2 linked regions of the Yarrowia lipolytica genome follow. The protein of the gene in region 2 purifies or fractionates together with the protein of the main gene of each other region. This does not show direct contact. Links are inferred from orthologs where the notes say so. Each region holds a gene or a part of one and is shown on either strand. Other genes may lie near its edges. The genes, in order: YALI1_B13586g and YALI1_E02203g.

Region 1 (4,307 bases), on a different chromosome or scaffold from region 2:
CATTTATATAATGAAGGTGTGGTGGTCCCCCTAGGCAGTAACAGGATATCTTTCGGTAAGGTCCGCTTACCTCTTTGGTCAGAGAGGACTTGAAGGGATCTGGAAAGCTCGAAATGGAAGAAAGGGGGTATCTGCAATCGCCTTGTTGCAGGGTGATTGGAATGGTGTGCCTGTTCCTGTACTTTCTGTTTCCGGTAATTGAATGTGCAACAATAGTTGTCTCGGAGGGTCGTCCCTCGACCCCTTGCACCACCTTACACCCCCTGAAAATAGCTACGCAACATTCCCGTCGTACAACAACCCCATATCCTTACTCTTGCTGCTCTATCGTCGGAAGTAGTCGGACATAAGCAGGGGTCCCGTTGGACTTGCCTGAAGGGATGAGATGGGTAAGAAACAGTAAACCGATACACGGACAGCAACGGGTAACCGGAGCACCAAAAATCCCAAGTAGATCTCTGAATCGGCTTTGGAAGCGTGTAAATGGGGTGCGTTCAACGAGGTCGTCTGTGTTTCAGCTTGTCTCGGGCGTTGATAGACGAAGAGTGTTAGACACACGACAGAATGGTTTCATACTAGAACATCGATCGTGGCTGGTGTGTAAACTCCAGGGAATAACCTGTGTTTCATAGTATTGGAAACTCCAAGGGCAAGGTTGGTCGTCATCAGCTGTGTATGCTCTTGTAATTACCCATATTCAAAAATACGTAACTCTTCTACCTACAGCCATTCAATAAACATGCTCTATCAATTATATAATTTGTAACTGGACTTTTTGTTCGCTTCGATCACAGTTTCAGACTGTAACCATCCTTGGCTTTCTGATCCCTCTTCAGCTTTCCATCTAGTCCTCTCTTCTCGCCTCTCTTTCCAATCACCGTAACATTACCCTGCTTCAGAGTCTCCATGACCTGGGCCTTGGAGCCCTTGGCATCGCCCTCCTTGGAATGCACCGCAAGAGATCGCTGTCGCTCCTCCTTCTCTGCCAACTGCTTTCCTCGGGCAATCTTCTCCTTCTTCTTGGCTCGCTTTCGCTCTTCTCGGGTCATCTCAGCCTTGGTCTGAGGAAGGCCAGTCGAGCCAGCCAGTCGCTCTCTCTTATCGGCAACCTCGGGCTTGTAAACCTCCTGGGGAGCCAGCTGTTCCTCCTGGGCCAGAGCCTGGGGCTGGGCCTCCTCCATGGAGATGGCAGGAGCGTTGGTGACAATCTGGATGGATTTAGTGGGTTTGGGCTTGTAGGTCCAAGATGACAGAGAATCGAGGGTGTAGGCAACGTCGGCGTATAGGTCTTCGATTTCTCGATGGGCAGCGTCTCGCATTTCGTTAGGGGGCTCGTTCGTCGTCGATGGTTCGGTCTCTCCCATAGCCTCAGCCTCGTACAGATCAGCCAGAGACTTTTGCGACTTTTGCTCAGAGACCTCGATGAGCTTGCTCTTCTTGAACTGAGGCAGGTCGTCAAAGAAACGTCGCGGAAGGTCATCAAACTGGCCGCTCTTGATTCGGGCCTTGATCATGTCTTCCAGCGACTCGGTGACGGCCTGGGTCATGACCGGAACAGGTTTAGCTCCCCGCTCAAAGTCCAGATCCTCCTCCAGCAGCGAGTCCTTAGTTCGCTGGGCTGCTCGAGCCTCTCCCTTAAGGGTCCACTTCTTTTCGCCCACGTTTTCCTTCTCGTACTGGGCAATCTGCTTCATGATTTCCCGTTGCTGTTTCTCAAACGTCGACAGATGCTCGGGGGTGTCTTCGGCAATATCTTCCTCGAACAGATCCTTCTTAACAGAGTTGATCATGTCCTCGTATTCGTTTTCGTCCCCAGATCCCTCCATGTCGAAGTCAGCTTCGTTGTCGTCAGAACCGGCCTCGTTGTCAGACTCATCGTCAGACTCCTCATCCTTGTTCTCCAGAGCCTGTTCGGCAAGCTTTTGTCGCTTGGCAACCCGCTGCTCGTACTGCAGCTTCTTGTCAAACTTGGCCTTGCCGAAAAAGTCGTCGTACTTGATATCGTCGACCGAGTCGTCGCTCTGCTCGCCGAGCTCTTTGTTCCAATCAAAGTCGGGTCCGTCTTCTCCAAAGTTGTCAGCCTCCATGGCCATGATCTGCTTGTTGAACTTGTCGATATCGAAGAAGCCATCATTGAGACCGAATTTATCGGGCTTTTCTTCCCCTCCAGAATCGTCTTCCTCCTCCTCCTCCTCCTCCTCTTCCTCGTCGTCGTCTTCCTTTTCTTCCTCATCTTCATAATCATCAACAAGATTATCCATGTCCATATCAACATCGCTGCCTTCGTTGTCCTCCTCAGTATCGTCCTCGTCGTCCTCGTCGCCATCGTCAAAGACGTCAACTCCCTCATCCTCCTCCTCGCCAACAACCTCCTCTCCAGGAACCTCCTCCTGAGCGCTCTCATACTGGCTCTCGTCGTCACTCTCCTCTTCCTCATCTTCTTGCTCGCTGTCGGGCTGGATCTTGCCGTACTTGGGAAACACCTCGCCAATCATCTTATCACAAACGCCATCGATAACCATCTTGGCCTGAGCCCAGACCATCTCAGCATCCATATCCTGAACATGAATCTGATCAAGCACCGAGTACTGCTCTGAGAGAGGGTCCAGCGCCTCCTTGACCTTGGCAAGAGCCTGCTTCTTGAGCTCAGAATCGGGCACGGCCAACACGCTCAGCGGCTCGTCCAACGTCACAATCGTGGGAATTCCAGACATTGTGCTGTGCTTTTAGTGAATTGTGGTATAAAAAGTCCAAACTGAAAACTTGATCATGCACCCACAGGATTTTTTTCAAATAAACTCAGAGTTTAATCGGATGATTATGTAAGCGAAGGGCAATATGGGGAGAGGAATATGACATATATTTGTGGAATTATAGGGATACCGAATAGTTACAGGAAATTGAACTGGTTATAGAACTTATCATACGTTTACACCCGTCTAAGACTCTTTTACTTGCCACTTTTAGACCCAAGGCTCCCAGCTCACTAAAGTAGCTACTGCACTCACTACTTATAGTCACCCTCTTCGCACTCCACTTGTTTCATCGATTTGGTTACTCATGCTTGGACTTGAAAAAGACCTTTTTGTAGGACATGCAAAGGAGCCAGGTGGCCAACAGGTTGAATCCATGGTGGATCATGAATGCCTGCATCATTCCATAGAACAAACAGTGCAGACTGGTGTATGCCAACAAGAGAGAAGTGATGGAAGAACCACTGGGAATACGCCTGAAGGATAGGTTTTCCACAAACAGCAGTGTGGGGAGAATGGAAACGAGGTTGTGATGGGAAGAAAAGGTCATTGATCGCTGAACAACAATGCCCTGAATCCAGACTGCCAGCACAGGAGCATTTATGATACATGTCCAAGTCATGAGAACACAGATGGTGGAAATGTAGTTGTTGAATGATTGTTCCTGCGGAGCTTTGTTGGACTTGAAGTACGCAGTCATCACCAGAAGAGCCACAGTGGCCAGAGTAAAGGCCAGCTGGTAGGGAAAGAACAGCAGAACCAGAACAGAAATGACAGCCACAAAAACAGTTCTCTTGTGTAAAAGATCGCTGATAGGGTCGCCTGATTCTGACTCTGACTGGGCAGTTGTAGTGCTTTTGAAACAGAAGGACAGAAGAGAAGTCAATCCCATGACCAGTTCTGTGATCAAAACAACCATACCGGTGGAGAAGACAGTGAAGATAGGTGCCAGAACTGTCCCAGAGACTCCGCTGAGTCCTAAAAACAAGTCGTTCTTAGTGTATGAAGGGTCAACGGCAAAGGTCTTGGTAATAGGGATCTGAATGAGATGTAGAAAGTCTCTGACTTGTGAAAGTCCCGTCAAATAGGCAATACCAGACCCAGCCAAGCATGAAGTAAGTAGGTAACGGTTAATAAAGATACTTGTACTTTGTCGAAGAGACAGAAACCTGGCAGTACCTGCATGGAACTGTACCAAAAAGATTGCATACAAGATAGCAGAAGGAAGAGAAATGAAGAGAATGCGATACCGCATAAATAGGTTACCCAGAGAACCGATCCAGTCCACCCGGATAGTCACATGACCCCCTCCAAAGACCTGTAGATGAAGAGGAGATGACTGAAAATAAGGAACAAAGGGGACATCTCCATGGAACGATACGTCAACTACCCCGTTGTGAGGCACAAGGTACTTAGAGTCGTATACTCGACTAGAATTTTGTTGAACGTATTGTCGAACAAGCTGCACTCCCTTCGAGACACTGACCTTGTAAGAAACGAGTCCAGAAGTCAATTTGGGGAAGGAAATATCAGTGGAGATGGTATTGGAAGTGG
Region 2 (4,087 bases):
ACCTCCGAGACGCCGACCAACAAACCAGCATTGGATGTCAACGACGAGTTCACCACACCTGCATATCTCAACCGCATTTCTGTTGATGTTTCTCCATTCGAAAAACGGCTCTCTTTCGCCGAGAGAATCAGGCAGTCTGTAGTCGAGAGTCCTATCAAACAAATGTCTCCTGAGAAGGAGTTGTCACCAGCTAACCAGACTGAAGAGTATGATGACGATGAAGACGCTTGGCGTGAACTTGAAGGACTGCCTCCTAAGCCCAAAGAGCCTAAGATCGTTGATGTTACATTCGACGGGGAGGAACCTGATGAGCTGGACGAGATCATGGGAACTGTGGAGGTCCATAATCCTTATGATGAACCTGTGCAGGACGATTTAGATTGGGTTCATGAAACTGCTCTTGAAGGAGAGACTGCTCTCAGTGCTCCTATCTACAAAGAAGGTGGTATCAAGAAACGCAAGCATCAGACGCAGAAGCGAACCACTAAAAAGGCTATTGTGCGAGTCGAGTCTGAACAGCACAAGAAGGCCAAGGTGGATAACGACAACTTCTCCACCACCAACAGACTCAACACGGGATTCAAGGTCAATATGGGACAGAAGCAGTGGGCCTCGAGGTTTAAGAAGTGATCGCCCTAGCATTTAACATAAGCATACGAACGCATTTAGAGATATAACATATACAGTGTTTTTTGACTAGCTGCCATGTACAACTACTTACATACTAGTCTACAAGCAGCGATATAACTACAAGTACCATTTTCCCAATCATTATCTAATATCTATTCAACAAATGCATCCATCCTTTTGCTCTCTCTAAACACTGAGGAGCTCCAACATACCCTGGATCTTCTTGCTCTCCTTAGCAGTCTCGACCTCGGACTTGAGAGCGTCGTAGAACTCAGACACCCGCTCTTCGAGTATCGGGCTCTTGGTAATCACACTAGTGTACATGTCCAGCACGACTGCAACGTAGTCAGCAACAATGTTGATGTATCGCGAGTCAGCAATGGCCTTGGTAGCGAACTCAAAGAGAGGCTCCAGAGAGTCCTCATCTCGGTTCAGCAGTGCAGCTCGCACCTTACCTCGCTTCTTGAGCTCTTCCAGAGCCAGAACAGAGGTCTCCAGATGCTCTCCAGACAGTGCAGCATCGAGAGCATCACCCCATCGGAATCCGAGAAGCAGGTTTTCATATCGCTTCAGCAGCTTCTTGTTGGGCCGCTCGTGCTCCTCGACAATGACATGCTCAAACTGACCCTCGTACTTGGTTCCTCCAAGCACGGGTCCCTCTGCCTTCTTCTTCTTCTCCTCCTCAACAGCAGCCTTCTGGTCCAGAACCCGTCCGTTGCTGATCTTCTCGTCCTTCTTGGGCTGCTGGGTTCGAACAGCGACAATACCGGAAACCAGACCGGCCACAATATGCTGGGAGTCTAGAGACATACCAGTACAGAGCACTCCGGAGCCGTACTTCCAGCCGTAGGTAACCTTGAATGAGGTATCATCAAAGACCTTGACATGGCCGTCTAGGGAGCCAGCGAAGAATCCAGAAGCACCGTGAGTAGGGGCCAGGCAAGTAACGGTCTTGCTGAAGTTGCCCATTTGTCGGATGGTCTTTCCGGTGGTCATGTCCCAGGCCTTGACAATGGGACCTCCGGCAGACAACACCATTCCGTTGTGGTAGAGGACATCCTCAACCGGGTGATCCTGAGCCAGAGAAGAGATGGGGGTCTTTCCGGATCGGGCGTCGTAGAGTCGAACAGTTCCGTCGTACGAACCAGCAGCGACAACGTTGGCATCGACAAACTCTCCACATCGAACGTAATCCTGAGCGCCCTCAAACTCGATCAGAGGAGTGGAGCTGGTGATATCGTAGAGCTTGACGCTTCGGTCGTCGGAGGCTGTGAGGAGAGTGGTGAGGTTTGTGGGGTGGAACTTAGTCACATGAGTGGCCAGTTGGGACGCCTGCAGAGTCACCAGAATGTTTCTCGACACGGCATCGAAGATCTGAACCAGACCTGTAGCATCACCGGCCACAATCAGCTTACCATCAGACCGGAACTCGCCGCAGTATACAGTATCCTTGAAACGAGAGATAGTCTTGGTGACTTTTCGGGTCTTTCCAGAGAAGATCTGGATTCGAGTAGACGAGGTGACGGCAAAGTCATTGTGATGGTTGAAGGAAACGTGAGAGATGGCATTGTACTCTTTGACGAGCAGAGGCGAACGGTAGGTTTTCCAGAATTTTTGCTCGGGCGTCAAGTCGGAGCCCTTTTTGACCTCCTTAGCAATCGTCAACCGGTTCAAGGGGGCGGACATTGTTGATTTGCTTGTGTGGTGGTGGTGATATTGAAATCTTGCAGATGGTTTCCAATTTTTTCTGTTGTGCATGCACCTTGAACTTTATTTGCGGAGGTGGATTTGGAGATATCCACTGTCGAACATAACTACAAGTAGCTTTATGTTATGGTGAAAGGGGTTGTCACTAAGTGGGATTAACTGGGGGGAGGTTGATATTGAAAGGCAAACAGCTTCTTATAATCTTTCGTGATGGCTAATGGCCTGCTTGTTGTAGGTTTTGCATGCGTTTATCTTCGCGTATTACTTAGTATTACTTAGTAACTTACTTGAACTACAGTTCAGACACTGGCATTGAAAAATGCAATAAATACAGATGTCTTCTCATCTCTGGGAAGAAGCTATAGAAACACCTTGGAACTCTCCTTGGAGTCGTATAACGCACGACCAATCTGACGGTCCAGCTCCATTCCGTAGCCACACTGAAAGTACGACCGGTCAAACCGACAGATGTAAAATCCTGATGGCAGGCACAGCATCTTATGGAAAGGTCCAAACGGTCGTGGACACTCCATATGTGTGTCTTGGGCCAGAAATGCCGAAGTTATCATGTGAGCACGTGCACTAGCACACTCAGAATTGACTCTGAGATCAAAGTACTGATCACGCAAGACAGCCAACAGAGTGGACTTCCAGTTCTTGTCCTCTTCCAGGTTGAGCTTGGAGAGGTTGGGGAATACAGATGGATCCAGCGGAGGCAGAGGATCAGTTGCCTCCAGTTCTAGAGCCAAAACAATCACTCCCGTGAACACATGGTAGTAAATGTTGTTCCAGTGAAACAGAATGTATTGTTGGATCTGTGGAGGAGCAGAGTAGAGATAGAATTGGTTCTCCAGTAGCTTCAGAAGTGACATGAGTCCAGAGAGTCGGTCGATCTTGCCACATCGGAAAAGCAAAAGATTGGCCTTGTGCCATTGTGTTGTCAGTGCCAGTTTCTTCATGAACTCCATAGGATCTCCCTGGGGAAGAGTATTGATTATCTGGTCGATTCGCAGGAGTTCAGCAGGATCTGAAGAATCATGGCTGTTCTGCAGTCCACGGGTGAACATGTAGAGCTTCTGGGTAGTGTGTAGAAACGGGTATGAGCTGAAAGGCAATTGGGGGTATTCTAACCCAGATTTGTGGCCTACAAATGCTTGGCAGGCGTCGAAAAAAGTGCCAGAAACCGAAATGAGGTGGTTTGCAGCTTCCTTCACGTCGCTGGAGGCTGTAAAGGGAGGCAGAATCCGTTGGCTCATTGTTACCAACAGACCACACAGAGACCATCCCACCATAAGACAGTCGCCAGAGAATGAACTGTAAATGTAGAGCAGTGCTGCTCGGAAGTCGTCGATCGACGAGGTCACTAACAAGGGTATTCTGTTGAGGTATTGCTCGGCGCGATCAGAAAAGTGGATGACGGCTGAAGCATGCAAGGTATGTAGCAGCGAGTCGAAAGCGCAGGACTTGCAACTCAGGGCGTAGACTGTGTATATCAGAGCCAGGAAGGACGGTGGTTGTGGCGGTGATGGCGGTGTAGGACCAGCCTGCCCGGGGTATAGGTTTTCATAATGTTCTTCGAACTCCTTCCAGTCAATAATGGGGAAGAAGGGGTCCACCAAATTCCTATAGTTCTCGATCAGAATGTCGCTTATGTTCTTCGGGAGCGGCTCGTTGGCAATGGCGCTCTCGTACTCTTCTGTTTTGTAGGAAAAGATGCTGAGGGGATTGTTGTTTGGCGCTGTTTGGATCG

What was found.
Region 1: the proteins of YALI1_E02203g (region 2) and YALI1_B13586g purify together in Saccharomyces cerevisiae (affinity purification with mass spectrometry; 3 studies listed by BioGRID, with this or other methods). This does not show direct contact. The link is inferred for Yarrowia lipolytica from reciprocal best matches to the Saccharomyces cerevisiae genes UTP15 and MPP10.

What each region holds. Positions count from the first base shown.
Region 1 is NC_090771.1:1,357,056-1,361,362, reverse strand, and holds YALI1_B13586g (uncharacterized protein), read right to left. Parts: upstream 2,715-4,307; coding exon 789-2,714; downstream 1-788. Other genes in the region: YALI1_B13556g (uncharacterized protein), read right to left, coding at 3,055-4,307. UniProt on the Saccharomyces cerevisiae protein: Involved in nucleolar processing of pre-18S ribosomal RNA. Required for the early cleavages at sites A0, A1 and A2 during 18S ribosomal pre-RNA processing.
Region 2 is NC_090774.1:218,660-222,746, reverse strand, and holds YALI1_E02203g (uncharacterized protein), read right to left. Parts: upstream 2,389-4,087; coding exon 817-2,388; downstream 1-816. Other genes in the region: YALI1_E02231g (uncharacterized protein), read left to right, coding at 1-630; YALI1_E02183g (uncharacterized protein), read right to left, coding at 2,697-4,087. UniProt on the Saccharomyces cerevisiae protein: Involved in nucleolar processing of pre-18S ribosomal RNA. Required for optimal pre-ribosomal RNA transcription by RNA polymerase I together with a subset of U3 proteins required for transcription (t-UTPs).